Linked DNA regions of Macaca fascicularis. The protein of the gene in region 1 interacts with the protein of each later gene in a pairwise test. Links are inferred from orthologs where the notes say so. Each region holds a gene or a part of one and is shown in the gene's direction. Other genes may lie near its edges.

The links.
Region 2: the proteins of FHL3 (region 1) and KIRREL2 interact in binary tests that used the Homo sapiens proteins (3 or more experiments, as listed by UniProt). The two-hybrid records come from large-scale screens. The link is inferred for Macaca fascicularis from reciprocal best matches to the Homo sapiens genes FHL3 and KIRREL2.
Region 3: the proteins of FHL3 (region 1) and CCDC198 interact in binary tests that used the Homo sapiens proteins (3 or more experiments, as listed by UniProt). The two-hybrid records come from large-scale screens. The link is inferred for Macaca fascicularis from reciprocal best matches to the Homo sapiens genes FHL3 and CCDC198.
Region 4: the proteins of FHL3 (region 1) and PIERCE1 interact in binary tests that used the Homo sapiens proteins (3 or more experiments, as listed by UniProt). The two-hybrid records come from large-scale screens. The link is inferred for Macaca fascicularis from reciprocal best matches to the Homo sapiens genes FHL3 and PIERCE1.
Region 5: the proteins of FHL3 (region 1) and MRM3 interact in binary tests that used the Homo sapiens proteins (3 or more experiments, as listed by UniProt). The two-hybrid records come from large-scale screens. The link is inferred for Macaca fascicularis from reciprocal best matches to the Homo sapiens genes FHL3 and MRM3.
Region 6: the proteins of FHL3 (region 1) and RHEBL1 interact in binary tests that used the Homo sapiens proteins (3 or more experiments, as listed by UniProt). The two-hybrid records come from large-scale screens. The link is inferred for Macaca fascicularis from reciprocal best matches to the Homo sapiens genes FHL3 and RHEBL1.
Region 7: the proteins of FHL3 (region 1) and SPMAP2 interact in binary tests that used the Homo sapiens proteins (3 or more experiments, as listed by UniProt). The two-hybrid records come from large-scale screens. The link is inferred for Macaca fascicularis from reciprocal best matches to the Homo sapiens genes FHL3 and SPMAP2.

Annotation. Positions count from the first base shown.
Region 1 is NC_088375.1:196,916,442-196,919,643, forward strand, and holds the end of FHL3 (four and a half LIM domains protein 3), read left to right. Parts: intron 1-38; 5' UTR 39-58; coding exon 59-214; intron 215-322; coding exon 323-497; intron 498-1,334; coding exon 1,335-1,504; intron 1,505-1,596; coding exon 1,597-1,783; intron 1,784-1,907; coding exon 1,908-2,062; 3' UTR 2,063-2,702; downstream 2,703-3,202. UniProt on the Homo sapiens protein: Recruited by SOX15 to FOXK1 promoters where it acts as a transcriptional coactivator of FOXK1.
Region 2 is NC_088393.1:43,085,595-43,089,545, forward strand, and holds the start of KIRREL2 (kin of IRRE-like protein 2), read left to right. Parts: upstream 1-1,151; 5' UTR 1,152-1,215; coding exon 1,216-1,741; intron 1,742-1,906; coding exon 1,907-2,056; intron 2,057-2,954; coding exon 2,955-3,104; intron 3,105-3,250; coding exon 3,251-3,411; intron 3,412-3,951. UniProt on the Homo sapiens protein: May regulate basal insulin secretion.
Region 3 is NC_088381.1:125,322,274-125,326,274, reverse strand, and holds the start of CCDC198 (factor associated with metabolism and energy), read left to right. Parts: upstream 1-1,201; 5' UTR 1,202-1,343; coding exon 1,344-1,566; intron 1,567-4,001. UniProt on the Homo sapiens protein: May be involved in tuning the metabolism, energy expenditure, and excretion processes.
Region 4 is NC_088389.1:3,874,236-3,878,192, forward strand, and holds the start of PIERCE1 (piercer of microtubule wall 1 protein), read left to right. Parts: upstream 1-1,157; 5' UTR 1,158-1,172; coding exon 1,173-1,315; intron 1,316-2,346; coding exon 2,347-2,425; intron 2,426-2,806; exon of another isoform or gene 2,807-3,389; intron 3,390-3,957. UniProt on the Homo sapiens protein: Microtubule inner protein involved in the attachment of outer dynein arms (ODAs) to dynein-decorated doublet microtubules (DMTs) in cilia axoneme, which is required for motile cilia beating.
Region 5 is NC_088390.1:895,048-899,321, forward strand, and holds the start of MRM3 (rRNA methyltransferase 3, mitochondrial), read left to right. Parts: upstream 1-1,474; 5' UTR 1,475-1,501; coding exon 1,502-1,815; intron 1,816-2,203; coding exon 2,204-2,448; intron 2,449-4,274. UniProt on the Homo sapiens protein: S-adenosyl-L-methionine-dependent 2'-O-ribose methyltransferase that catalyzes the formation of 2'-O-methylguanosine at position 1370 (Gm1370) in the 16S mitochondrial large subunit ribosomal RNA (mtLSU rRNA), a conserved modification in the peptidyl transferase domain of the mtLSU rRNA.
Region 6 is NC_088385.1:55,885,050-55,889,276, reverse strand, and holds the start of RHEBL1 (GTPase RhebL1), read left to right. Parts: upstream 1-1,427; 5' UTR 1,428-1,606; coding exon 1,607-1,658; intron 1,659-1,705; exon of another isoform or gene 1,706-1,804; intron 1,805-2,199; coding exon 2,200-2,339; intron 2,340-4,227.
Region 7 is NC_088393.1:936,302-940,390, reverse strand, and holds the start of SPMAP2 (sperm microtubule associated protein 2), read left to right. Parts: upstream 1-1,289; 5' UTR 1,290-1,822; coding exon 1,823-2,289; intron 2,290-2,795; exon of another isoform or gene 2,796-2,876; intron 2,877-3,460; coding exon 3,461-3,583; intron 3,584-3,884; coding exon 3,885-3,956; exon of another isoform or gene 3,957-4,047; intron 4,048-4,089. UniProt on the Homo sapiens protein: May be involved (but not essential) in spermatogenesis.

The DNA of each region.
Region 1 (3,202 bases):
CTCTGTGTGACCCCAGTTCCACCTTGTGCTCCTAACAGGGTTCTCTCTCCTTGCCACGATGAGCGAGTCATTTGACTGTGCAAAATGCAGCGAGTCCCTGTATGGACGCAAGTACATCCAGACAGACAGCGGCCCCTACTGTGTGCCCTGCTATGACAATACCTTTGCCAACACCTGCGCCGAGTGCCAGCAGCTTATCGGGCATGACTCGAGGGTAAGGAGAGGGCCAGGCCAGGCAGGAGGTGGGTGGTGACCAGTGGAAGGGGGCAAAGGATGGATCCACCAGGCCTGGGTGCCAGTGCCCCCGCTGTGTTCGCCACAGGAGCTGTTCTATGAAGACCGCCATTTCCACGAGGGCTGCTTCCGCTGCTGCCGCTGCCAGCGCTCACTAGCCGATGAACCCTTCACCTGCCAGGACAGTGAGCTGCTCTGCAATGACTGCTACTGCAGTGCGTTTTCCTCGCAGTGCTCCGCCTGTGGGGAAACTGTCATGCCTGGTATGTCCTCAGGGGCTCATCTTGTGTAAGAACTGGCATGCCTGGCATCTGCGTAGGGTCTTTGCATGTGTCTGTCTGATACATGGAGACTTGGTCTGTGTAAAGACCTGCACACACAGCATGTTTCTGGAAATTTAGTATATGCAGGATCTGTTTGCCTGGTATACTGGGGGTTACTATGTGCAGGCAGATTGACACATGTGATACATACTTGGGGGCTTAGCATGTGTGAGTATCTGCATGTTTAGTACATGTAGGAACTAGAGGTGTGCTGAGACTGTCGTGCTTATTGCATTGGGTCTTAGTGTGTGCAGAGGCAGGTAAACAGAGGGCTTAACATGTGTGGGGACCTGCATGCCTAATAGAAATGTTGGGACTCAGTACCTATGGAGAATGGTGTGCCAAGGAGATGCGAGGGCTTAGCATGTACTGAACCTGTCATGCCGAGGGCATTAGGGCATATACTTACTTGCCTGGTACATGTGGGGTCCCGTGTGAGTGCTGAAATCATCACATCTGTTATATGAGGGCTTAGCTCATAGTGAGACTTCATGACTGTTACATGGAGGCTCGATATGTGCTGAAATTGTCATTTCTGGGACATATGGGGGCTTAACATATGCCAAAATCCTCGTGTCTAGCTGGGTCATCATGTCCGGTGTCTGGGGAGAGGTTAGCATGTGTAATGTACATGGGGCAGGGGGGTTCTTGCTGCATGTGCACTGGACACCACCCTGCTCAGGCTGCGAGAGGAGTGGAGACTCCCGGGGAAGTTACAGAGGGTGGCCCTCAGGAGCATGGGACACAGCCTCTAAATGGGACCCCTGTTCCCCACAGGGTCCCGGAAGCTGGAGTACGGAGGCCAGACATGGCATGAGCACTGCTTCCTGTGCAGTGGCTGTGAGCAGCCGCTGGGCTCCCGTTCCTTTGTGCCCGACAAGGGTGCTCACTACTGCGTGCCCTGCTATGAGAACAAGTTTGCTCCTCGCTGCGCCCGCTGCAGCAAGGTGGGGGCTGGGCCAGCCAGGTGGGGGTGAGTAAGGCCTGTCGTGGGGTGGGAATCCCCACTCATACCTACTAATGAATGCTGCCCCCACAGACGCTGACACAGGGTGGAGTGACATACCGTGATCAGCCCTGGCATCGAGAATGTCTGGTCTGTACCGGCTGCCAGACGCCCCTGGCAGGGCAGCAGTTCACCTCCCGGGATGAAGATCCCTACTGTGTGGCCTGTTTTGGAGAACTCTTTGCACCTAAGTGCAGCAGCTGCAAGCGCCCCATCGTAGGTGGGACAAGGGTCAAAGAACGGAGTGGGTAGGGTGCAGGCAAGGGAATGGGATGTGGTATTGGGTGAAGTTGAGGGCCGGACCATCCCTAGATCTGCAGAGCTAACTTCCAGCCTCCCTCCAGGACTCGGTGGAGGCAAGTATGTGTCCTTTGAAGACCGACACTGGCACCACAACTGCTTCTCCTGCGCCCGCTGCTCTACCTCCCTGGTGGGCCAAGGCTTCGTGCCGGATGGAGACCAAGTGCTCTGCCAGGGCTGTAGCCAGGCAGGGCCCTGAGCCAGGCTCCTGGACCCAGGCTTTCCCATACCACGGGCCCAGGACTGTAGCTCCTTTTCTAAACCACCTCTGGGACTTAGCCCCACCCCCCAACCAAAAAAAATGGGTCGCCCTCTGGGCTCCAGGATTGTTTCTCCACGCCAGCATCCCCAAACTGGTACTCCCTGACCCAGGCCCCCAAACCTGGGCTCTTATAGAGCCTCCATGAGTCAAGCTGCCTCCCCACACCTGGACTCCAGAACTCACCCTCTCCCCTGCAGTCTGGGTTCCCAGACTGAGTCCTCTCCCCAAATCAGGGCTCTAGACCCCAGCCCTCCAAACCTGGGCTCTGGGACTTAGGCCCCCTTAAATCTAGACTTCTCTTTATAGGTTTTAGGTCTCCTATGGGTGCCTGAGAAGTCCTCAAAAGTGGACTGTTCTCAAGCTTGACCTGCCCCACCCCATCCCCCCGGGGCTGAGGCTGTGGGGACAGCGATCAGGGGCCCACCGATGAGGGGGCCCTAGGGTACAGGGTGCTGCCCAGCTGGTGGCCACCGAGTGTCTTCTCATTTTATTTCAGCTCCATTTTGCCCATAGATGGGCAGAGGGGTGAGATTGGCTCACCCCCCTTCCAGATTCTGCAATAAAGCGGTGTGAGGAAGCAGGGGCCTCCGTGTGTGCCTCTGTGTGTGTGTGTGTGCGCGCGTGCGCGCGCAGGGTATAAAGGGGAAGGAAGGGTTTTTGCAGACTGGGAGGCTCAGAATCTCTTCTAGACCTCGTCCTTGCAGGGCGGGGTGGAGGGGGGCCGGGCCACGGGGTGGGAAGTCTCTCCCCATGAAGGGGATCCCCGCCACGGCTACCGTCCCTCTGGAGCTCGGCCTGCCTCCCTGCTGGCAGAGGGCTTTTTCCTCCATGCAGGGAAGGGAGGGGTTTGGGGGAGGTTCCAGACGAAAGCGAGGGTGGCGATGGGGTGCCTTAATTGGCTGGTACCAATAGTCCCCTCCGCCAACAGCCCTTCCCAAAGCCCGCAGAGCAAGGACCCGGTTCCGATCCCCAGTCTGGGCCTAGACCCTCTCAGCCCCCTTCCCCCTCTTCCCAAGGATTAACGAGGGCGGCCCGGGATCCGCTCGCGACCGCACGTTTTTTGCCAAAAAAGGCAAG
Region 2 (3,951 bases), on another chromosome or scaffold:
AAGACTCAGGAGTTCCGGCCTCATGCCATCGTATTTCAAAATCCAGGCACTAGATATGCCACATAGAAGCCAGGAGTGTAGGCCCCCAGATCCCTCCCCTCTCAGACCCTGGGGTCTCAGTCCCTTCTCTCCAAGGACTCAGGAATTTGGGCCTCTGATCCTCCTGGCCACCCTACCCATCCCTGCATCCCTCCCACCCCCCGCACCGGCCGCATACACACACACACACACACACACACACACAGACACACACACACACACACAGGACTTAGGACAGATGTTCACCGTCTGATTTCCAAATCCTCCTGGGCCCATGTGGGGGTGGGGAGAGATTGGCAGTTAAATCCACCGACTCTAAGACTTAAGACCAGATATTCTGACCTCTGTCACCCTCTTCCAAGTGCACCATGCTGCAGGCAGGAGACCTAGGAGTTGAGTCTCCAGCCTCTCAAGGAACCAGGAGATCAGGCCATCAGCGTCTCAGCCAGCAAAGGCCTGAACCACCAGTCCCTTACAATCCTGTAAGTCCAACCCCTACTCCCAACCCCACCCTGCCATTTAGGGACACAGAGTCTGAGCCTAAGAACAGCGTAGAATCTGAATGTGGACCCCCCAGTTCTTACAGATCCAGGAATGTCAGATCAGGGTCCCAGCCCCCCAGCCCTCCTTCAGGCTGCTCGAGGTCCCTCCCACCTGCTCGGCCAGCTGCGCAGCGTGGGAACGCCCCAGCTGGGCTGCATGGAGCCGTCAGGACAAGCTGCGCGGTTCCCAGCCTCCCTGCTTGCCCCGGCCCGGCACCGCCGCCTCCCAGCCGTCGCCCGGCAACCAGGCGGAGGGGCCAGGCCGGCCGAGTGGGGAGAGGGGCTGGGCCGGGACTGCGGGGTCCTGGGAAAGGAGGGGCCGGGGTCCTGGATTCCTCGGTCTTAGGACGTTTGCAGCAGTAACAAGGGAACAGCCCTCTGTTCCCCACTTTGAGGAGGGGTTTTGAGGCTGGGGGAGTCAAGACAGGGGTCCCAACTGTCCCCCAGGTATCGGCGTGCCCTATTCCCGACCCGCAAGCCAGGGGAGCCCCGGACCCCGCCTCCCCCAGGGCGCGGAAACTGGTGAGGCCCCAGGGGCCCCCATTTATAGCTCGGTTTCCACTGAGCGCAGTCCCTCCAGGACCTGGGCTGAGCAAGTTTCTTCCACTCTTTCCCTTCCCTCCTCTTCACCCCCATGCGTGCCCCTCAACCTCGACAGGGCGCAGGTGTCCAACCCAGCCGGGACTCCCTCCTCGAACCCAGGTGTTCCGGCTCCCAGACCCCAATTGAGCTGGGGGCGCCCACCCGCCGGGGGACCCCGCCCTGCATCCCCCATTCATCTGCGTCCAGCGGCGGGAGTTTCTCAATGGGAAGAGGGCGGAGCTCCTGGGAGGCGGACCCGGGCGGGGCGAGCTGGATCGGGCCCTCTAGGGGTCTCCCAGAGACCCAGGGCGCGGAACTGGCAGGCGTTTCAGAGCGTCAGAGGCTGCGGATGAGCTCACTTGGAGGACTCCAGGCCAGAGACAGGGGTTCTCTAGGCTGGGGAGAAGAGTCAAGCGCGACGGGGGCTCCGGGCCAGAGTGACAGGAGGAGGGCTTCCGAGGAAGAAGTTGACCGGGAGGCCCGTGCGACGGCAGATCTCGTGAACCTTGGGGGACACACGCTCAAGATGCGGGTCCCCGCCCTCCTCGTTCTGCTCTTCTGCTTCAGAGGGAGCGCAGGTACCGCACGAGGGGAGCGGATGAATATGGGGTGGGTGTGGGGGGATTGCTTGCAGGCTGCCCCTTCACTAGAGAGAAGGGAGTTGGGGGCTGGGACCCCTGGGTCCTGAATGAGGGGGCTCTTGAAGGTGCTAAGCTCAGCCCTGCTGCCCCCAACTTTCCTAGGCCCGTCGCCCCATTTCCTGCAACAGCCAGAGGACCTGGTGGTGCTGCTGGGGGAGGAAGCCCGGCTGCAGTGTGCTCTGGGCGCCTACTGGGGGCTAGTTCAGTGGACTAAGAGTGGGCTGGCCCTAGGGGGCCAAAGGGACCTGCCAGGTAAGACGGTTCTCTCCACGCTGGGACGGGCTGGCTAGGGGTAGAGTTGCTGGGCTCGGCTGTACCTGCAGTTTCTATTTTGACATTTTAAGTTTGGGAAATTGATGGACTTGGGTAAACATTTAGGAGTCCTGATTTTTGAGCTGCTTCTTTGGGGGTGACCCATAGAGTTTTGGAATTATTATGTTATTGTGAAATAGTAAACAGGCCAGGTGCGGTGGCTCACGCCTGTAATCCCAACGCTTTGGGAGGCTGAGGCCAGAGGATAGCTTGAAACCAGGAGTTTGAGACCAGCCTGGGCAACATAACAAGACCTTATCTCTAGAAAAAATATATATATTTTAAACAAATTAGCCAGGCATGGTGATGTGCATCTGTAGTCCCAGTTACTCAGTAGGCTGAGGTGGTAGGATTGCTCAAGGATAGCCTTGAGCCCAGGAGTTCAAGGCTGCAGTGAGCCATGATCAAGCCACTGCACTCCAGGTAATGGTGAGACCGTGTCTCAAAAAAAAAAAAAAAAAAAAAAAAAAGGAAAAGAAAGAAAGAGAACATAAATGCAAAAAAGTACAGTAAACATAAACGGAAGGTTTACCAAATAATATAGACACTCACACAGCCAATACCCAAGTCCACTGCTAGCTCCCCAGAAGCCCCCGTATTCCTTTCCCCTATCATAGCCCCCCTCCCCCTCACTCCAGAAGTAGTATCTAACCTAACTTTTATGGCAATCATTTTCTTGCTTTCCTTTCTGAATTTATTACCCCCAAGTTTGCAGTGACTCTGGGTTGGGAGGGAGTTAGAGTCTCTATGGGCACAGTACCCACTCTTTAATAGTGTCTTACCACCAAATGTGTGGACCAGTCAGAACCATGGCGTGCTGCCTCCTCCCTGACTCCAGGGTGGTCCCGGTACTGGATATCAGGGAATGCAGCCAATGGCCAGCATGACCTCCACATTAGGCCCGTGGAGCTAGAGGATGAAGCATCATATGAATGTCAGGCTACACAAGCAGGCCTCCGCTCGAGACCAGCCCAACTGCACGTGCTGGGTAAGGACCTCGCCCACTTGTCCCCTGGGAGCCCAAGGGGGCAACCAGTACTAGCTGTGAGTAGCGGAGTCCAGGGAGCCCAGGGGAGTGGTCAATTGGAGCTGAGAGGATCCGGATCCATCTCTGACCCCAAATCCACCTTGCAGTCCCCCCAGAAGCTCCCCAGGTGCTGGGCGGCCCCTCTGTGTCTCTCATTGCTGGAGTTCCTGTGAACCTGACATGTCGGAGCCGTGGGGATGCCCGCCCTACCCCTGAATTGCTGTGGTTCCGAGATGGGGTCCGGTTGGATGGAACCACCTTCCATCAGGTGAGGTCCAAATTCCTGTGCTAGCCTTTGCCCATTCAGGAAAACTTGGGGTACACTCTGACTGCAGGCTCATCCCGAGGAGAAGAAGACATGGGAGGGCAGGGGTTCAAGGGTTTGGACTCTTGAAATATGATGCCGGGTAAAGATTCTAGGGCCAGACTACCTGGGTTCAAATCACGTCTCAGCCACTTGCTAGTTGATTGATCTTAAGTTAGTTAACCTCTCTGTGCCTCAGTTGCCTTATCTATACAATTGGAATAATAATAGCATGCATGTCATAGGGTATTGTGAGGATTAAATAAATAAATACCTATAAGTTCCCAGAAGAGTGCCCAACACATAGTGAACCGTATATAAGTAAGGCAAGCTTATCCAACCTGTTGCCTGTGGGCTGCATGCAGCCCAGAACGGCTTTGAATGTGGCCCACCACAAATTCATATACATTCTTAAAACATTATGAGCCTTTTTTGTAACTGTTTTAGCTCATCAGCTATCATTAGTGTTAGTATGTGTGGCCTAAGACAATTCTTCTTCCAATA
Region 3 (4,001 bases), on another chromosome or scaffold:
AATGCAAAGAGAATAAGGAAAAAACTAAATTCAGGCATCTTTTTAGATAAATGTGATTGTCTACCAAGACTTTCCAAACACCACCTTAGTCCCTTAGGAAATGGATTCTGCAAAGATGAAAAATACATTTTCTTTTAATTTCTCTATGGAGATGTGATGAACACACAAGTAATCTGTGGTCATGAACAATTAGAGCTTGAAAGTTAGTCCCACTTCTAAGTATAAAGAATAAAATAAAAATCACCCATAATCCCACCATTCAAAAATCACTACTCAATATTTCAGCATATTTCCTTCTAGTCTTTTTTCTACTTTAAAAATCATAATAGGCCGGGCACTGTGGCTCATGCATGTAATCCCAACACTTTGGGAGGCCAACACAGGTGGATCACTTGAGATCAGGAGTTTGAGACCAACTTGGCCAACATGGTGAAACCCCTTCTCTATTAAAAATACAAAAATTAGATGGGTGTGGTGGTAGTAGGTGCCCATAATCCCAGCTACTTGGGTGGCTGACTCAGGAGAATCACTTGAACTGGAGAGGCAGAGGTTGTGGTGAGCCAAGATCATACCACTGCACTCCAGCTTGGGTGACAGAGTGAGACTCTGTCTCAAAAATAAATAAATGAATTTAATTAAATTTAAAAACATAGTAAATAGGCTATCTTTTTATGTTTAAGAAGTTTTTCCCCTCATCCCCAGGAAAAAAGTTTCTATTATCCTCCTGTCCTGCAATGTATTCATCCCCTTCAAAGGCAACTCAAGTCATCAACAGAAAAATCAAATGACGCTTTAGCCACTCCGCTGCTTTCTTTCCTACTTGGAGGATAAATTCTTCAATTAAATTAAAGATTAACAACGCCTTGGTAATTAGCATGCATCCTCTTAGTTGCAAAGATGGCTTAGCTATTCTCAGCTGTTAGTTTTTTTACAAAGGTGCTTGCAGTGAAAGCGTCAAGTTTAAGACTTCTCTAAACCTCTGCTCTACATCTCTCTCTGTGTTAATAATCTTCCTGGTGTTAGATATTTGTTTAATGATCAATAGTGGCTTCTATTCCTATCACTGAGTATTTCAGAAAGCAGCATAACCAAGTCAATGTTTAACTGGATTCTTTGGGTCTGAAATGGCAAAGTTGAAGGGAAGTCTCCATGGAAACCAGCCTCCCAGGAAGTGGCCAAAAGGGTTAGTGTGCAGTGAAACAGAGCTAGAAGGATGCCATGAAGGAAATGACTGCTTTGTAAAGCCAGGGTAAACTTCTGAAATGCCTTGATTAAAACAAGCTATATTAAAGACCCCAAAACCACTTTCCTCGCAGCTTTCCTCTGAATGTCTTTCACATGAAATGGGCCTGAGTCACTCTAAGACTCACCCGAGGGTGATCAAAGTAGCACCTTTGCAAAACAAAGAGGTAGAGACTCCCTCAGCTGGCCCTGTGGACTTTGCATTCAATCAGAATTTGGAAGAAAAGACTTCACATTCACTGGCAAGACTGCAGGACCAGAATAAAGCCTTGGAAGGGCAGCTGCCACCTTTACAAGAAAACTGGTATGGAAGATACTATGCAGGTAAACATAAAACCCAGCATGAGATGTGTGTATCTGGACCAAGGAGCATTATTAATAGATTTATCTGACTGTCTCCATGATCTCAGAAAGTTTCTAAATTACTGAAATGTAGAGGAATTTAGGCTATCTTTGAAAACTCAAATCTTTCAAAGAGGATTGAATGTCAATTGAAAGTATTCTGGGTGCATTAGAATGGGAGTATAAACTGTACAAAGGGCTTTTCACCATTCCATATGAGAAGGATAAATCATTTTGTTTCAGCTCAGTTTGTAATGCTTTCAATATTTATACCTAGCTTTGACAGACCATTAAAATTATATAGATACTAATGTGATAAATGATAGCAATCGCATTTCAGTTAAATTCTAAATTTAAATCATTCTCTCCAGTATAGTTTTATGCACCGGGCTTTGTGGTTTTGAAAGCAGCACTTTAAGAGTGAGTTAATTCTAACATGAATTTTGAAACCACCCTAAACAGAATTGATTTATTACAGTACATTGGAGTGGATGAGTCACCCTTTTCCCAACCCCACATTCTTCATGGTCATCTGCAGAACTAACAGAATTCTTTCCCATTATGATTGGAAGCTCTGAGCCTGAAGTGGCTATAAATTATCCTGGAATATTTTATAAGCCATGTAAAATGTTTTATCATGACCACAATGATAATTAAACAGACATCTTCACTTAGAAAAATATATGTTTATTTTATATATATATATATGCATATGTATATTGTTTTCCCTTTCCTTCACCTTCTGGATCAATAACACAAATAAGTTTCCCTTATTGGATGCCTCATTCAGAAAGCCTCACATTCTCTTTTGGTACCTAGCAAATCTTGCCTGGAATGATTTTTCATGTCTACTGTCTGCAGAATTGATAACCTTTGGTTGTTTCTATATGGCCTATTTTTATGTTCTTTATGGTCTTCAAGTTCTTAAGCACATAGATGGGAATTTTCCCCTTAGGAAATTTTTTATGACAGACGAATAGGTGACAAGACACGATTTAAAAAATGGAGCGTGAGTGTGCACTAAGAGTATGCAATGCTCCTACTGAGGAATTCCCTTTTTATCCAAATCCCCATTGAGAGTTTTAAGATTTTGGTGATAGAGAGAGACTCTGTTTCAAAAAAAAAAGATTTAGGTAACTGAATAAATGGTGAAAGCTGATTCATGTGCTTTAGAGTCCCAACTGGAAAACATGCTTATGTCTGAAGTGACAAAATCACATTGAAAATAAATAACAAGGAGATCATGAGGATTCTCATGACGATCTCCCATATTCTCACCGCAGCTCCATCAAATACCAAATCGAACGACCTTGGGCAAGTTACTTCATCAATTTTTTTCACTTGTAATCAGGGGTAAAAATAAATGCCTGACACAGCCTATGCCATTTGAGGAGAATCTAATTAAATAATGGACTAACATCACTAAAATAAAAAAATAAGGATTAGTAAGATTTCTGAAAAAATAGCTGAAAATACTTACATTTTTAAATCCAATATGTTTGTTGTTTCCATCCTGCTCAATATGCTGGCATCTTTTCAAAAGAAAATAAGGACATAGTTTGCATACCACTAAAAGTCAGAGAGAACAAAGTCCTTAAAGCGGTCATTCACATGTCTTAAAGAGAAAGATGCATAATTATCCATGGATTTTTCCATTTAAAATGCAAAGTGGGACTGTAAAATACTCTGTGAAACAATCTAGAAATCAGAATGTGTCCAGATTATTAAAAGGGAAAGACAAGAACTGCACTCATGCAGCGTTGGTCATGGTAGCACTCCCAAGAGCTCAGGATAATCAAGCTGGAAAATAAAATCCATAATGGATCTGTTGAGCCTCTCTGTTTCCTAATAGAGGCTTAACTCTGTATCCCTGGCTTGTTTCATCAGGAAAGAATATTGATATGCTGTATTATAGTGGCAATCTGTGGAAATTTTTTTCACTAAAGGGGCTATTGAATTGTGTTCACACATACTCCATTTCTGTCTCATCTCTGTATAATCACCTATCTATCTATCTATCATCTATTTCATCTAAGAAGATTATTTTCATTTTTTAAAGTTATATATTTTTCTGATGTCTTATATTTCGGTGAGGAGATTTTATGGAATTAAAACAAGTCAATAAATTTCTATTTTCCAGGCCAAATTCTGTTTGAAAAATATTTGCAGTCAACATATTGGTAATTTTGTAATTCTTCCCCTAAATATGAACCTGAGTAGGAAGTTAGGAGAGCAGATATTAAATCCCAAGTCTAGACTAAAACAGTGTCATTTGCACTAATGTAGGTTCCCTGCTTTCTGTGTTTCATCTCCACATTCAACCTACAGGTTAGACATATATAACTGGAAAGGTACAAAATTGTGTTGATAAAGTCTAGTAACTAATGATTACCTGATCTAATAGTAAATTATATTTA
Region 4 (3,957 bases), on another chromosome or scaffold:
TCCGAGCCGGGCCGAGCGGCCTCCCCTCCCGCCGCCGTCCGCGCGGGGCCGCAGTGCCACCTACAGGCCCGGAGGAGCCACAGCGCCGTCCGCGGGCGGCTGGGACCTCCCTGCGGGGGCGGGGCAGACGAGGGGGCAGGGCCCGGGGTCCCGGGCTTGAGAGTCTCGGGCCGGGAGTGGGGCCACCGTCCTCGCCTTGCAGCTCGCCCCGCCTCGCTAATGGGCCCCACCAGCCCGGGAGGCCCCTGACCTTTGGGGGAGCCCGCTGGGCGATGGGGACCCTCGCCTCCCGCCACGTGAGCTGTGAACCACGTCCCGCGCAGCCTCTCGCGCTCCAAAACTGTTTTTAATATTTATTTATTTATTTATTTATTATTTTTTATTTATTTTTTGTTTTTTTTTTTGAGACAGAGTCTCGCTCTGTCGCCCAGGCTGGAGTGCAGTGGCCGGATCTCAGCTCACTGCAAGCTCCGCCTCCCGGGTTCACGCCATTCTCCTGCCTCAGCCTCCCGAGTAGCTGGGACTACAGGCGCCCGCCACCTCGCCCGGCTAGTTTTTTTGTATTTTTTTTAGTAGAGACGGGGTTTCACCGTGTTAGCCAGGATGGTCTCGATCTCCTGACCTCGTGATCCGCCCGTCTCGGCCTCCCAAAGTGCTGGGATTACAGGCTTGAGCCACCGCGCCCGGCCATGTTTTTAATCTTTAAACGATATTTGACTTAGGAGAATTTCATAAAGTTAGCAAGATCTCGGGTCTCAATTTAGACTCGGGGTGCTGAGGGGCATATCATCCCTGGAGTACATTGGACAGCAAGCGTCCAATCGTTGTCTGCCGAGTGGACCTGCAGTGCTTAAACCCCATCACCCGGCTGGCGGGGTCCCAGGCCCTGGGGTTCCTTTCGCCCGGGAGTCCACACCCTCATGCTGGGGTGACCCGGTCCCCTCGCGGGTGGCTGGGGGCCAGGGGCTGCCCCATACAACGGTCCCAGCAGGGAATCTCTCGCCGTCCCGACCTTCCCAGTCATTGGGGACTCGCTCGGCAGGTTCCCGACCCGCCCGCGGAGGAGCACCGCCCACGCGCGGCGCCTTTAAGGCCCCTCCGCTCCGCCCAGTCACGTGACCTGGCCGTCGCTTGGCAACAGGACGCCGCCGAGTCCTGCTTTTCGAGGCGCAATGGCGGAGGAAAGCCCCAGAGCGTGCGCGGAGCCTGTGGAGCCCAAGGCCACGGCCCCGCCTGAGAGGACCAGCGACTACTACCGCGTAAGCGCGGACCTGCCGGGCAGGTTCAACAACCCAGGGTGGTTCCGGGGCTACAGGTGAGGAAGCTGGGGCGCGCCTGGTCCTGGCGTCCACTGCTCGATAGCCCCGTGTGTGAGAGACCCCGCAAGACCCCCAAGGTCCTAGCTGCAGAAATCAAGAGGATCGAGGGGTCATCTGGGGCCCGCGCTGTCATCGCCCACTAGTGAGCAACGAAAGTGCTCCCCAGAGCCTCATACAAGGAAGTGGGAATAGGGTCAGTGAGGGGCAGGGCCGTAGGGGGGAGAAAACCCAGTTGTGGTCTCAGCTCCACTGTTTTGTGTCGGGTGAGTCTCCTCGCCTCTCTACCCTGAAACCCTGCTGCGGGGCGTGAGCACAGCAGCACCTGCAGCAAGTCTACTCAGCCAGCTGTGAGCTGCCACAGGGCATTGCAGGCTAAGAAGCAGTAAAAAAATTCCTGTAGGCAGGTGCAAGCATCTTGCCGTGCTCACACATGTGGTCCCTCAACAGTCCTCTAGGGCAGGGTCTGTTAGTATCCTCGTTCTCCCATTGAGACGACTGGAATGTAGAAAGAACAACTTGGCCAAGATCTAGGAGTATAAAGTAGAGCTAAGGTGTGGGCCTGCAGCCTCTCAGTAGCCTGTCCTACTGACAGGTAGGGGCAGTGGTACCGAGAGAAGCATCACCTCAGCGAGGGTGGGGGCTAAAGGCAGAGGGACCCTCTGGGTGGCAGAGTCTGGAGGCCAAGCCTCCGCTCCTGACAGGCTAAGTTACCCAGAAATTGCAGCATGTGCCAAGGTCCTGCCAGGGCTGGGGGTCAGCACTTGCTGGCTGCCTGCTCTTTAGGGCTTGGCCTGCCTTGGAAGAGCAGGGACCGTGGTGAGCAGAGGGGGCAGGGGAGGCCGGGCCATTCAGAACGGTCATCAGCCAGGTACTCCCAGAGGCCGCCTTTGAGGCTGCATCACCAGCCCAGGCACATTGCTCTTTCTTTGGGGGCATTTCCAGTGGAGTGCTGTCAACCAAATGCAAGGCTGTGGCTTGTGCAGAATTAGATTAAATGAACGAAAAGAGAGTGTTTCTCATCTACCAGGACCCAGAAGGCTATCTCGGTGTACACGACCAGTAACCAGGCTTATGGGAGCAGAGCCCCCACCGTGCACGAGATGCCCGTAAGTGGGATGCAAGACCGGGCATGGGGGGGCAGGGGGTGGGCAGCCTCAAAGAAGAGGCTAAAAACCTGGGGTTCTCAATAAGTCAACAATGAGACGGGGAGGGGTGCACCCAGAGAAGAGGCCAAAGTTCCAACATCACAAATGGGGAGGAGGGAGGTTCCCCAAATCATTTTGGGAGAGGGTAGGATGGAACTAAATGAGTGAATGAATTCGGGAGTGGAGTGTTTTAAAAGAGGAGGATATAGACTTGCTGGCATCACCCTGTCCCCACACCCCCAAGCACACGCACAGCAGTCACACACACACACGCAACCATCTCCTGCAACTTACAGTGCTCAGTTCTGAGGCAAATAAATGAAGGGCTACTTTTTTTCTGGAATTACACTTTATGAGATGTTAACGTGTGACCTTAAGAGGGCAGTACTGGCTGACAGCACAGCTTGTGGGTGGGCAAGGTGTATTGTGGGCACAGGAGCCTGTGGGCCATTGGGGAAGCCAAACCCTTTTTGAAGTTGACCTCGGACTCCAGGATGGCCCTCCTAGAACATCCTCACACCAAACCCCATGAAGGTCCAGGTGAATGGACAGAGGGGCTAGTGCGGTGTCTCCTGCACACCTGGGACACTGGGCCAGCCATTTTGGGGTGAGAATGTTGTGGGTGTTTTTTCTTTGTCAAAGCATTCATCATTGAAAAGGTCTGCTGAGTGCTTATTTAGTTGTGTTGTGTGAGTGACTGAGCTCTGGTGAGAAGATTACTTACCTGAAAATGCTGGAGCACTCTCCCATAGTCAAACGACCCTGAGTTTTCCCTGGGGATCAGGTATTTCTGTGACAACGACCAGACACAGCTGGGCGCGGTGGCTCACGCCTGTAATCCCAGCACTTTGGGAGGCTGAGGTGAGAGGATCACTTGAGGCTAGGAGTTCAAAACTAGCCAGGGCAACGTAGTAAGACCCCATCCCTACAAAAATAAAATAAAATAATTAGCTGGGTGGGGTGGCATGCACCTGTAGTCCCAGCTATTCAGGAGGCTGAGGTAGGAGGATTGCTTGAACCCAGGAGGTTGAGGCAGCAGTGAGCCATGATCGTGCCATTGCACTCCACCCTGGATGACAGAGCCAGACCCTGTCACCAAAACAAACAAACAAAAAACCCAGCAAACTCACTAACATGGGTCCAGATGTTTTAGGTTTTATAAAAGGCCATGAAAAAATGTTCCTATTGTAAATGGTAGGAGCCTTCAGGTCACTGATGTGAGCAGGCAGTGGGATAGGAGGCATGAGGTACTCTTGACAAGTTTCCAAGGAGGTTTTCCTGCTTCTTATCCACCTGCTCCATCTGGAGTCTCTTTCCCAGTTTCGTGACCAAGGGTGGATGCCGGAGAAGCTGTTTACCTCCCATGTGAGAACAGGAGATAAATGCTTTGCCTTAAAAAGTGCACTGAAGGGCTGGGTGCGGCGGCTCACACCTGTAATCCCAGCACTTTGGGAGGCCTAGGCGGGCAGATCACCTGAGGTCAGGAGTTTGTG
Region 5 (4,274 bases), on another chromosome or scaffold:
GCTGGGATTACAGGTGTGAGGCACCGCGCCCGGCACATGTTTAGTCTTTACAGCAAGCTTTTGATCAACGAAGAAATACTAACAAGGGACAGCTCTGTGGTTTCTGCTATCGAAAGTTTTGTGGTTTTTCACTATCAAATTCTGACTTCCATTACCATCACCTACGTACAAATCCAGTTCCAACTCCCACCCCAATCCAGGCCATGAGCTCTAATGGAGGATTATCCATCAGGGTCATTTGAACCTTTGCTGCCAAAACTCAATGTAGTACCCTAAAAATAGCAGATTTTTTTTTTTTTTTTTTGAGACGGAGTCTCGCTCTGTCACCCAGGCTGGAGTGCAGTGGCACGATCTCGGCTCACTGCAAGCTCCGCCTCCCGGGTTTACACCATTCTCCTGCCTCAGCCTCCCAAGTAGATGGAACTACAGGCACCCACCACCGCGCCTGGCTAATGTTTTGTATTTTTAGTAGAGACGGGGTTTCACCGTGTTAGCCAGGATGGTCTCAATCCCCTGACCTCGTGATCCACCCGCCTCAGCCTCCCAAAGTGCTGGGATTACAGGCGTGAGCCACTGCGCCCGGCAAAATAGCAGATATTTTAAAAATGATCTGACGAATTCAGACCCCCGTCTACCGCACCGCCTCCACACTAAACCGCGCTCTTGCACCTTTCAAGTCTTCCTTACTGGTGTGCTCCCTACCTCCCCGGCTTATCGAAGGAGGTCCCCCAAACCCCGTTCCCCAACCAAGTCCTGCAGTAACAGCTTCTCAGGACCGGGGAGAGACTGCTTGTGGGTGCTGCTGAAAAGGAGATGGGTTGAGAATTGGAGCCCATATTCAGAGAGACTGAGTACCCGAGTGGAGCCATTCCGACCAGCCCTGACAGAAGCAGAACTCTGAATATGCTGGTTTTAACTACATCAAAGGCTCCAAACCGGAAAAGACAAATATTAACTGGAAAGCATTATATGTCATTTTGTGTATTTACCGTCTTTTCCGGTAGACAGTAAGCTCCACAAGGGCGGAGCTCAGTAAACATCTACGAGTGACTTAAACGAAAGGACGTGCTGGGCACACCGCGGGGACTAATCGCGTTAGGCCCCTCTCCAAGGCCTATGATCCCCACCGGCAACTCGCCGCTCCCGAAGCTGAACTCCGCGCAGGGCCCAAGGTCGGGCACCCTCCGGCTGAGGTTCACGACACACCCATCTTCCCCTCCCTCCGCCAGGGCCGGCTCGGGGGCCCGTTCCCGCCTCGCGCGCCAGCCCCAGTCGAACCCGGCCTGCACCTTCATCCCCAGGACGTCCCGATAGAAACGCGCCGTCTGGAAGCGGTTTCCCACTTTGAACACGAAGTGCAGAGCTCTGCGAGCAGCCATGACTCCCGCGCACGCAGCCGTCACGCGCACGGTACCGCCCCGCCCACGACGGGCGCCCCGGGCCGTGACGTCACTGGCCGCCGACGGCGCGCCTTGGTGACGCAGCCCGGGTCTCAGAGAAGATGGCGGCGCTGGTGAGACGCTCGAGGTTTGTCGTGCGGCCGCTGCTGCAGGTGGTGCAGGCTTGGGACCTTGACGCGAGGCGCTGGGTCCGGGCGCTGCGGCGGAGCGCAGTGAAAGTGGTGTTTCCTTCCGGAGAGGTGGTGGAACGGAAGCGCGCTCCCGGGAAGCAGCCACGCAAGGCAGCATCTGAGGCCAGTGCCCAGGAGCAACGAGAGAAATCACCGCTTGAGGAGTCCACATCCCACGCTCCCAGCACCTGGGAAGAGTCTGGGCTTCGCTACGATAAAGCTTATCCCGGGGACAGGAGGCTGAGGTGATGTGGGTCTTGAAGCCTGTCGAATGTTCTCGTTTCCCTTCCCGCCTCACAGCGGAGCCTTAACCTCCTTCTCCGGATGGAGGACTTCTTCCAGTACAGCCCGCTGGCTTTTGTATTATGCACAGAGGGCCGAATAGTGTCTTTGGAATTAGCTTCTGTTTCCCCTCAGCTCTTTGTTGTTGTTTTTGTTTCACCATGTTGGTCAGCCTGGTCTCGAACTCCTGACCTCAGGTGATCCGCCCGCCTCGGCCTCCCAAAGTGCTGGAATGACAGGCGTGAGCCACCGCGCCCGGCCCTCTCCTTGGCTCTTTATTTCTGTTACAACTAAGCGTGTCTTAGTAACAAGGATGTTGATAGTTACCTGTTTTTTTATTTCCATCTACAGCAGTGTAATGACAATAGTAAAGTCCAGGCCGTTTCGGGAAAAACAAGGGAAGATCCTGCTGGAAGGTCGCAGGCTCATTACAGACGCTCTCAAGGCTGGAGCTGTGCCAAAAATGTTCTTCTTTAGCCGTCTAGAATACCTAAAGGAGCTGCCAGTCGATAAGCTGAAAGGTGTCAGCCTCATTAAGGTGAAATTTGAGGATATCAAGGATTGGTCCGACCTCGTAACACCACAAGGAATAATGGGTCAGTGATTATTACACAGTGTATCTTTTTTTTTTTTTGTCTTGCTCTGTCACCCAGGCTGGAGTGCAATGGCGCAATCTCGGCCCACTGCAACCTTCGCCTCTCAGGTTCAAGGGATTCTCCTGCCTCAGCCTCCCGAGTAGCTGAGACTACGGGCATGCACCACCACGCCTGGCTAATTTTTGTATTTTTAGTAGAGATGGGGTTTCACCATGTTGGCCAGGCTGGTGTCGAACTCCTGACCTCAGGTGATCCTCCTGCCTCTGCCTCCTAATGTGCTGGCATTAAGCATGAGCCACTGTGCCCAGCCTTACACAGTGTATCTTAAGGTGTGGAGACCTAGGATTAATTTCTCATACTTGTCTTAGGACAGCAGATTTCATTGAAATGAAATTCAAAATGTTACAATTAGAAAAACATAATTCTCAAACCTGTGTATCTTAGAATATTTTCAATGGAAATTGAAACCCGTTTTTCACTATCATTTGTGTTGTGGCTCTTTATAATCTCTAGGAAGAACCACTATTCCTCAAACCTTGTATTTTTTAGATTACGTCTTCAACTTTTTATGTCAGATTAAAACTTAAGAAAATGTTTACTAAAAGAGTTAGCCCTTCATTTCTGCAAAAACTCTGCTGATGTGGTGATCACTGTTAATAAATTCCTTATTCTAGAAGCAGATCTAAGAAGTGAGGTATAAGCCATAATATACTGCCCTGTTTAGCCCAATAAACGGAGAACCTTGTCTTCTAGTCTGTTTCTTCATTTGGCTGAATCTAACTTAATCTTACTTAATGTCGATTAGCAATTACAAAGTCTTTGGTCTAAATATGAGAAGATAAGTTTTTCATACGTTTTTGACATTGGAGTTTTATTTAAGATATGAAAACTGAATCCTTGAACTGGGGACCATCTCTTGTTTCTATAATCCAGTGAGTCACAGGGATCTGTGCCTCTACAATCAGAACTCTTAGATCCTAGGATGGGGACTTGGATTACTAAAGTACCTGGAATTACTCATGCTAAGTAACCATATTCTCACTAGAAACAGCCCTCTAATCCACACTTGATGCTTCAGTGAACATGTCATTCATTTTTACTGAGCTTGTCACTTTGGGCACGTGTGCTAACAGTGGCCATCCCATCTTGAACTTCATCATTATACCTGCTTTCATCATTTCCTGGCTTTATAATTTTTATATTATTTAGCTTATCCTTATGTTACTATATTTTAGATTTGAGGGCAAGGAATAAGGGAGAAATGGATAGGAACTGGCAGCACCTGTCAGGCTTTAGACAGACACTCTGGAGAATCCAGTGACGTAAGTAGGGTCTCTGTATGGTGGGTTCTTATCACCATAGACATTCAAGTAGAAGTAAAGGACTTCTAAGATCCCCTGCCCTACTGAATGGCTTGTGGCCATCTGTGACTCGGAAGTGGAGGCTCTCTCACAGCACACAGACGCCTAATACCCTTCCGTTGCCTTCAGTAGTGGGTAGGCTTTTTACCTGCACTGTCTTTAGAAAGAATCCTAAATCTTTGATTGTATCATGTTTCAGTACAAGTACTACTTCATCTCCTGACTTCAGTCAGTAGCCCATTTATTGGAGCAATTATATATGACAAAATACTAGTAAGATTCAAAAAATCTGTACAGTCCCTTGGGAGCTGACTACAAAGGGTTTGAATATTTGGTAATGATACATAAAGAGTTTAAGGTAGTGCTTGGCCTAAAAAAAAATGTTTGCTAAAAGATTTATCTTTTTCTAAATGTTTACTAAAAGGTTATCATTATCACCTCTACCAGGAAACATGGTGATTCAAA
Region 6 (4,227 bases), on another chromosome or scaffold:
TTTCTTCCCTCCTCTACCAATCCTTCTGCAAGTCATTTTAACCTTAGCTTCAGAATATCCTGAATTCTCAACTTCATTCAACATGATCACTCTAGCCACGCCACTCTCATCTGGACTACAGGTAACAGTTTCTTCGCCAATCTCCCTGCTTCCTCTTGCTCCTGTTCCCCTCAAACCCCAATCCATTCACCAAAGCCAGGGAGATTTTTTAGAAAGACAATGTAGATCATGTCATGCCCCAGCTTAAATACCTTCAAGTACTTAGAATTAGCCCAGACTTCTTTATGTGGCCTGGCCTCTGCCATTCTCTTAGACTTCATCTGCTTTAGGCTAACTGGCTTTCTTTTTTTCTTCCCCTCTTCCTGGAATTTACTGAATTTATTTCCATCTTATCGCCTTAGCATTGGTGGATTCTTCTTTTGAAATCTGCTAACTGGTTCCTTCAGATCTTAGTTTAAATGGGGTTTCCTATGGGAGAAAGTATTACTAATCTAAAGTGGTCATCTCAGCCAGGCTCGGTGGCTCACGCCTATAATCCCAGCACTTTGGGAGGCCAGGCCGGGTGGATCACTTGAGGCCAGGCGTTCGAGACTAGCCTGGGCAACATAGCAAAACCCCGTCTCTCCCCAAAACACAAAATTAGCCAGTCTCATAACCCTGTCTCAAAATAAATAAATAAATAAAAATTAAAAATGCTGTATTGTCTTTAAAAAATAAAGTGGTCATCTTTTATCACACCATCTTCTATAGCACTTAACGCTATCTGATATCTCCTTGTTGTATGTTTGTTTCCCCCTTCATAAGAGCAGACACATTGTCTTTCATGTCCATGTTCTGACCCCAAAGCTGGAGCAATGCCTGAAACACATAGTATATGTTCAGTATTTGTTGAAAAATGAATGTTTGAGGATCATGAGGATGAAGAAGAAACCTCAGACTACTTGATCATAAATTCTAGCAATTTCCGCAAGAACAAGAATTGCAGTTTGAAATCAGATGCTGGAGGACTGGAAACCTTGATAGGTCTGGGGCTGAAGGCTGGGGAAGCAGAGGGAATATATTGGAACTTCGGCCCTTTTCTTCGTATCTAAGGACCTCAGAGACCATGCAAAGGGCTAGAATCTTATGGCCAGAAACCACACAACGGGTATTTTCCATCCATAATTCTTCGCAGCCACTTCAGCTAGGCTGCAAATGCGCAAACGCCTTTAGGACCCCGGGTTCCTTTCTGTTTCTTTATGAATGAACCGGCTCCAGTCTGCGCACGCGCAGCTCCCAGTACTCCCGCTCCACGTGAGGCCCACCCTTCCCTCCTGCTGGCGGCACCGCCCTTACCCATTCTAATGGACCAATGGCGAGCGGCCTGAGGGGCGGAGCCCGGCGCGGCGCGGCACAGTAGTTCCCCCGGCGCCGGGCTCCCTCGCGTTAGACGTGCTGTGTTGTGATCACGTGGGCAGCTCCGGGCGCGGCGCTTGTTTTGGTTTCCCTCTAAGTTGCCCGCGGCAGCTTCTGGGTGAGCGACTTTCCTGCACCTGCCCACACCCTGACCTCGTCTTCGGGCTCTCTCAGCCCGCAGTTCCGCAAGCCCCTGGGGCGGGCTCCTGCCATGCCGCTGGTCCGTTACAGGAAGGTGGTCATCCTCGGATACCGCTCTGTAGGTGAGTCTCCGCCCTGCAGAACTCGGACGCGCAGCAGCTTTGTGGCCAGAAGAGGCGCGCTGCCGTGGGAACGCGACCCAGGGAGGAATGGTGACATCGTAAGAATGGGGTTGTAGAGCGAGGATTGGAAGAGTGGAGGAATAAAGGTTGGTGGTGTGTGGAGGCTGCAGGAACCGCAAGCACTTAAGGCTCAATGAAGACCTGGCTGCGGTAATCTCAGAGTGGTCCCAGCGTTACTTTGGGGATAGGGGTGGGGTCACAATTTGAAAACCGGGATGCGGTCTCCGTGGGGACAGATAGTCGCAGGTGTCCTGGGGCGGGGCGGACTCGATCCTGGGGAATCTTGGATATTCCTGCGGGTAGGATGGGGTGGGGAAGGCGGCGGGAAAGGCTTCCTGCTGCGCTTCTGAATGCATCCGGTAGCCAAAGTGCGGAGACCCCGGGCGAAAAGACGGTGAGGGTAGACACAAGGGATAGGATTGCTTGAGGCACTCACAGACTGTGGTGTTAATTTGGGGTACCCTTTGGTCCTGGGCCACAGTCCGAAAGGACAGAGGATGTGAATGTGGATGGATGATTTGGATACAGCTGCCACACTGCTCCCCACAGGGAAGACATCTTTGGCACATCAATTTGTGGAAGGCGAGTTCTCGGAAGGCTACGATCCTACAGTGGAGAATAGTGAGTAGACTTCTCCCCTAGTGTGCTGGTGACGCGACCCGGAGGGATTGGATAGCCCACCCAACTCCATAATGTATTTCTCTGGTGCCAAGGGGCTGATTTATTTACACATTACATCTAATTTCTTCTTCAGCAATCCTGTTCGATGGATGGCTAGAGTATGGATTTTGCAGGATACTGAGTCTGGGATAGTTTAAATGTAGACATTAAGAACCTTAGTGTGGGCCGGGCGCGGTGGCTCAAGCCTGTAATCCCAGCACTTTGGGAGGCCGAGACGGGTGGATCACGAGGTCAGGAGATCGAGACTATCCTGGCTAACACGGTGAAACCCCGTCTCTACTAAAAAATACAAAAAACTAGCCGGGCGAGGTGGCGGGCGCCTGTAGTCCCAGCTACTCGGGAGGCTGAGGCAGGAGAATGGCGTGAACCCGGGAGGCGGAGCTTGCAGTGAGCTGAGATCCGGCCACTGCACTCCAGCCTGGGCGACAGAGCGAGACTCCGTCTCAAAAAAAAAAAAAAAAAAACCTTAGTGTGTCTTTCCAGTTACCTGGATAACTCCCTGGAGCTGATCTATCTGTGTCAACCCCAAGGTTAAGAATGTAAGGGGAGGCCAGGCGCAGTGGCTCACGCCTGTAATCCCAGCACTTTGGGAAGCTGAGGCGGGCGGATCGATTGAGGTCAGGATTTTGAGACCAGCCTGGCCAACATGGTGAAACCTCATCGCTACTAAAAATACCAAAATTAGCTGAACATGGTGGCACACACCTGTAATCCGAGCTACTAAGGAGGCTGAGGTAGGAGAATCGCTTGAACGCAGCAGGCAAATGTTGCAGTGAGCAAAGATTGTGACACTGCACACCAGCCTGGGTGTCAGGATGAGGCTGTCTCAAAAAAAAAAAAAAAAAAAAAAAAAGCCAGGCACCATGGCTCACGCCTGTAATCCCAGCTCATTGGGAGGCCAAGGCAGGTGGATCACCTGAGATCAAGAGTTCGAAACCAGCCTGGCCAACTGGTGAAACCCTGTATCTACTAAAAATACAAACAATTAGCTGGACATGGTGATGGATATCTGTAATCCCATCCACTCGGGTGGCTGAGGCAGGAGAATTGCTTGAACCCAGGAGGCGGAGGTTGCAGTGAGCTGAGATGGCGCCACTGTGCTCTAGCCTGGGCAACAAGAGCGAAACAACATCTCAAAAAAAAAAAAAAAAAAAAAAAAAGAGAATAAAAAGAATGTAAGCAGGGGGAAGGGAGTGGGAGGGATGAAGATAAATTGATCAATAGGTACAGATATATAGTTTGATAGAAGTAAGACTTAGTAGTATCAGTAGGGTGACTATAGCTTACAATAAGCTATTTTACATTTCAAAATAGCTATAAGAGAAGAATTCAAATGGTTCTAGCATAAAGAAAACACAAATATATAAGGTGATGAATATTGCAGATATACTTACAAATTATATGAATGTATTATCACGTGTACCCTGAAACTTGGTGCATCTATTATTCATCAATAAAACAAAAGTAATTATTTTTCTTTTCTTTTTGAGACAGGGTCTCACTCTGTCATCCAGGCTGGAGTGCAGTGCCGCAATCTCAGCTCACTGCAACCTCCACCTCCTGGGTTCAAGCAATTCTCATGCTTCAGCCTCCTGAGTAGCTGGGACTACAGGCATGTACCACCATGCCCAGCTAATGTTTTGTATTTTTAGTAGAGACAGGGTTTAACCATGTTGGCCAGGCTGGTCTCGAACTCTTGGTCTTAAGTGATCCGCCCACCTTGGCCTCCCAAAGTGCTGGGATTACAGGTGTCAGCCACTGAGCCCAACCAACAATCTACTTTAAAAAAAAGCTGCCAAAAAAAAAAAAAAAAAAAAAGAAGGTAAGA
Region 7 (4,089 bases), on another chromosome or scaffold:
ATCTTGGTCAGGTTTAACTTGAGAGAAAAATAGCCGGGCGCGGTGGCTCAGGCCTGTCATCCCAGCACTTTGGGAGGCCGAGACGGGCGGATCACGAGGTCAGGAGATCGAGACCATCCTGGCTAACACGGTGAAACCCCGTCTCTACTAAAAATACAAAAAACTAGCCGGGTGTGGCGGCGCCTGTAGTTCCAGCTACTCCGGAGGCTGAGGCGGGAGAATGGCGTGAACCCGGGAGGCGGAGCTTGCAGTGAGCTGAGATCGCGCCACTGCACTCCAGCCTGGGCCACAGAGCCAGACTCTGTCTCAAAAAAAAAAAAAAAAGAGAAAAATAAGTCACTGAGTGCAAGGTGAGGGTTTAGGAAACTTCAGGCCAAGAAGGGGGGTTTTCCCACGGCCTCCTGGATGGGACCAGACCCTCCCAGGGACCTTTCTGCCTGGAGTCCTCCGAGAGACCCCTTTCCCGACAGCGGTGATGGCGCGGCTGCGTCTGGGAGCAGCGCATCCGGGAGATGGGACGGGGAGCTGGAGAGGGCTTTGCGTGTGTTGATGAACTGGGTCTCTTGTGTGCCAAGTGGTCACATGCCCGGACGGCTGGCCCCACACTGGTGGCAGGGGTGAGGGACACAGCAGGACTCTGGGGTGGGCTAGCACTGGGTGGGGGTGGGGGTCTTAGGCCTGGGAGCCCAGAAAGGGGAGGGATGGTCAGGGACTCTCCCTGCATGGGGGACCGACAGGCTTGAGTCTTCAATGATGAGTAGAAAACCACCAAGCACAGAAGGGGGAAGTGCTGGGCAGAGGCACAGGGGAAAGGCTGGATGGGGCACAGCACGGAGAGGGAAAGGCTGGGTGGGGGCACAGCACGGAGGGGGAAAGGCTGGGTGGGGGCACGGAGGGGGAAAGGCTGGGTGGGGGCACAGCACAGAGGGGGAAAGGCTAGGGGGGCACGGAGAGGGAAAGGCTGGGTGGGGGCACAGCACGGAGGGGGAAAGGCTGGGTGGGGGCACAGCACGGAGAGGGAAAGACTGGGTGGGGGCACAGCACAGAGGGGGAAAGGCTAGGGGGGCACGGAGGGGGAAAGGCTGGGTGGGGCACGGAGGGGGAAAGGCTAGGGGGGCACGGAGAGGGAAAGGCTGGGTGGGGGCACAGCACAGAGGGGGAAAGGCTAGGGGGGCACGGAGAGGGAAAGGCTGGGTGGGGGCACAGCACAGAGGGGGAAAGGCTAGGGGGGCACGGAGGGGGATAGGCTGTGTGGGGCACGGTGTGGCAGAGGCGGGAAATTCAGCTCCTTTGACGAGCTGCAAGGAGGTCCGGAAGGCTGCAGCCTGGGGAATACTCCAGTTATAACCATGATTTTGTTGTGAGAATCGAACAGCCTAGTTTGAAGTTATTTCTCAGGAGAGGTTGGAGCCGGAAGGGTCTGTGTCCCTGAGGGTGCAGTTCTAGCTGCTGCGGATTGGAAACTTCGCCAAAACCACTTAGTACTGAGGACACTTATTGTTTCAAGTAACGAGAAGCCTGGACACAGGGTGGATTCCAGAGCTGCTAAGTTCAGAGGCTCGACAAGGGCATCAAAGACCCGCTTTTCAGTCCATCTGCCCTCAGGCTGGCAGGCCTCATGGTCACAAGGCGGCTGCCTGGGCTCTGGACATTACAGACGGGCCCAGCAGTGACAGGAACGGGAAACGCGGTCTTTTCCTTGTGTCTCCTTTTAAGAGAGGGAAGCCATATCTAGATAACCCCTGCAGGGTCCCCTCAGGCCTCCTTCCTAAACCAGTCCTGGGAGGTCCCTGTGAGCCACGACTGCCAGGACTGAGTCCTGATGCCAGCGCAAGCCCAGGTGACCGGCATTGTAGACAGCGCAGGGGTTAGAATGTGGACTGTGGAGAATGTGGGGGACACTCTCCTGTTGCCGCGGCCACCACAGACACATTTGGGTGCTGAGGGAGTGAGGCCGCGGGGGCTGGGAAGGGACCTGTACATGGGGGACAGCAGGCGAAGGTCACTCGGGAACCAGCCCAGCTCTGAGGCTGCAGGCAGGTTGGAAAGGGAGCTCAGCGGTGACCCCCGTGGCCTCCAGAGCTCTGTGTACGAGAGCCGGCGGGTCACAGACCCCGAACACCAGGACCCGGACAATGCGGAGCTGGGACCGGAGGACCCAGAAGAGGAGCTTCCCCCCGAGGAGGTGGCCGGGGAGGAGTTCTCGGAGACCCTGGATCCCAAAGAGGCTCTTTCTGAGTTGGAGAGAGTTCTGGACAAGGACTTAGAGGAGGACATTCCTGAAATCAGGTGGGCACCGCGGAGCGGCCCTGCCCGGGCGCGGTGGGGTAGGGCAGCAGCCCCCTGGGCGTGCGAAAGCGTTGTTCCCGGCCGCTGGCCTGGCTCGCCGAGGGGCCCAGGCTGCCGAGTCAGCCTAGGTGTGGGCCTGGTCAGCTGGCGGCCAGCACCCCTCACTGGGCCCTGAGGCAAACACCAGCACACGCTCCCCTAGCCAGTGGCAGGAGGTGGAGTAAACAGCGCTGAGTTTGGAGTCAGGCAGACTGAGTTCAGGTGCCCAGAGTTCACAGTTTAACAAGTGATGACCTCAAGTCAGACAGCGAGAAAAAGAAATGGGAAAAAAAAGCCTCCCAACTCAAAAGCTGAAACAATTCTAAGCACCACAGGTGGCTAAAACGTTTTAAATGGTCGGGAGGAACACGTTCAGGGTGAACGAACGCTTCAGCGAATCGGCACTGGGGGCAGTGATTCTGGGCAAGTTGCCCGAGTGTCCGCAGCAAGGCGCGCACTCTACCTACCTCTGGAACTTGGCTCCCGCCCTCCCTGCAGTGTGGTCCCGGCCCACGCCCACACCCAGGTGCTCCCTTCTCACCGTGGTCTCCGTGCTGCCCAAGAACAAAGCAGCGGCCCTGTCCTCACGGGGCCGTGCTAGCCTGCAGAGAAAACGGCAGTAGTGTGAGGGGCTCCCGGGGAGGACACGGGAGCCAAGAGCTGCGACAGGGCAGACGTCCTGACGTTTGGCATCTTCGCCTGCTGCCTGTGTCCCTCCCGCGGTCTGTGAGCTTTCTGGGAGGCAGGCGCTGCTCTCTTTAGAGGCTGGTGGCCCCTCTGGGGCCTGGCATACAGTAGGTACTTGATAAATGTTTGTGAGATGCGCAAACATTATCTTAGAACTCACTGAAACAGCCCCACCAGGTGGGAGCTGGTCTCATGTCCAGTTCACAGAGGAGGCGGCTGAGGGCCTGGGGAGCCGGGTGCCCTGGCCAGGGTCTTCCATCCAGCCAGCAGTGGAGCTGCGGTTTGGTCCAGGCCTTCGTGGTGCCAAAGTCCTCCCCCAGAGACCCTTCTCAGGAAAGGAGAGGCGGGTGGGCAGGGCGCTCGAGCAAGACCTACGCTTCTCTGGGCCCCCAAACGCGTCGGGGCGAGAAAGCAGCTCCAACTTCAACATGGAATTCTCCCAAAGCCGGCTGTCCATCAGCCAGAAGTTCCCCAGCACCATCATGGCCAAAGCAAGGAGGAAGAGGCGGCGGAGGAGGCTCATGGAGCTGGCAGAGCCCAAGATAAACTGGCAAGTCCTGAGAGACAGGTGAGGACAGGCCAGACCAACCACGGCCTCGTGGGGGCAGCGCTGGGGCTTCCTCTGTCCCCTTCCCGGGCTCCTCCTGTCCCCACTGCTCGGCTCCCCTCCCACAACCGCCACCACATCCAGCAAACTTAGGGTAGACGGGGTTGGCCAGTTAAGGAGGTGGCCAGACGCCGGGACTGGCTAGGGAACTGCGGCCCTCGGTGGCCCTCTGGGCGGTGGCCAAAGGAGAGTGAGGAGTTTGGGAGCAAACGGGAGACCCAGGGCAAAAGGCAGTGGGGGCTCGGACCCTGTCTCCTCGCAGGAAGGGATGCTGTGGTAAGGGCTATGCCTGGATTTTCCCATGCAAGATGAGCTTACGGTTCTGTCTCTACTGGTAAGTCCAAGGCTGTCTCCTCCATCTGCCTATGCCGGGGGACACGTGTCAGGTTCCGGGGAGCCCCTCCACTCGAGCCACCCTCTTCTCTCTAGGGAGGAGGATGGGGAGGGCTCCTCAGATGTGGGGCTCT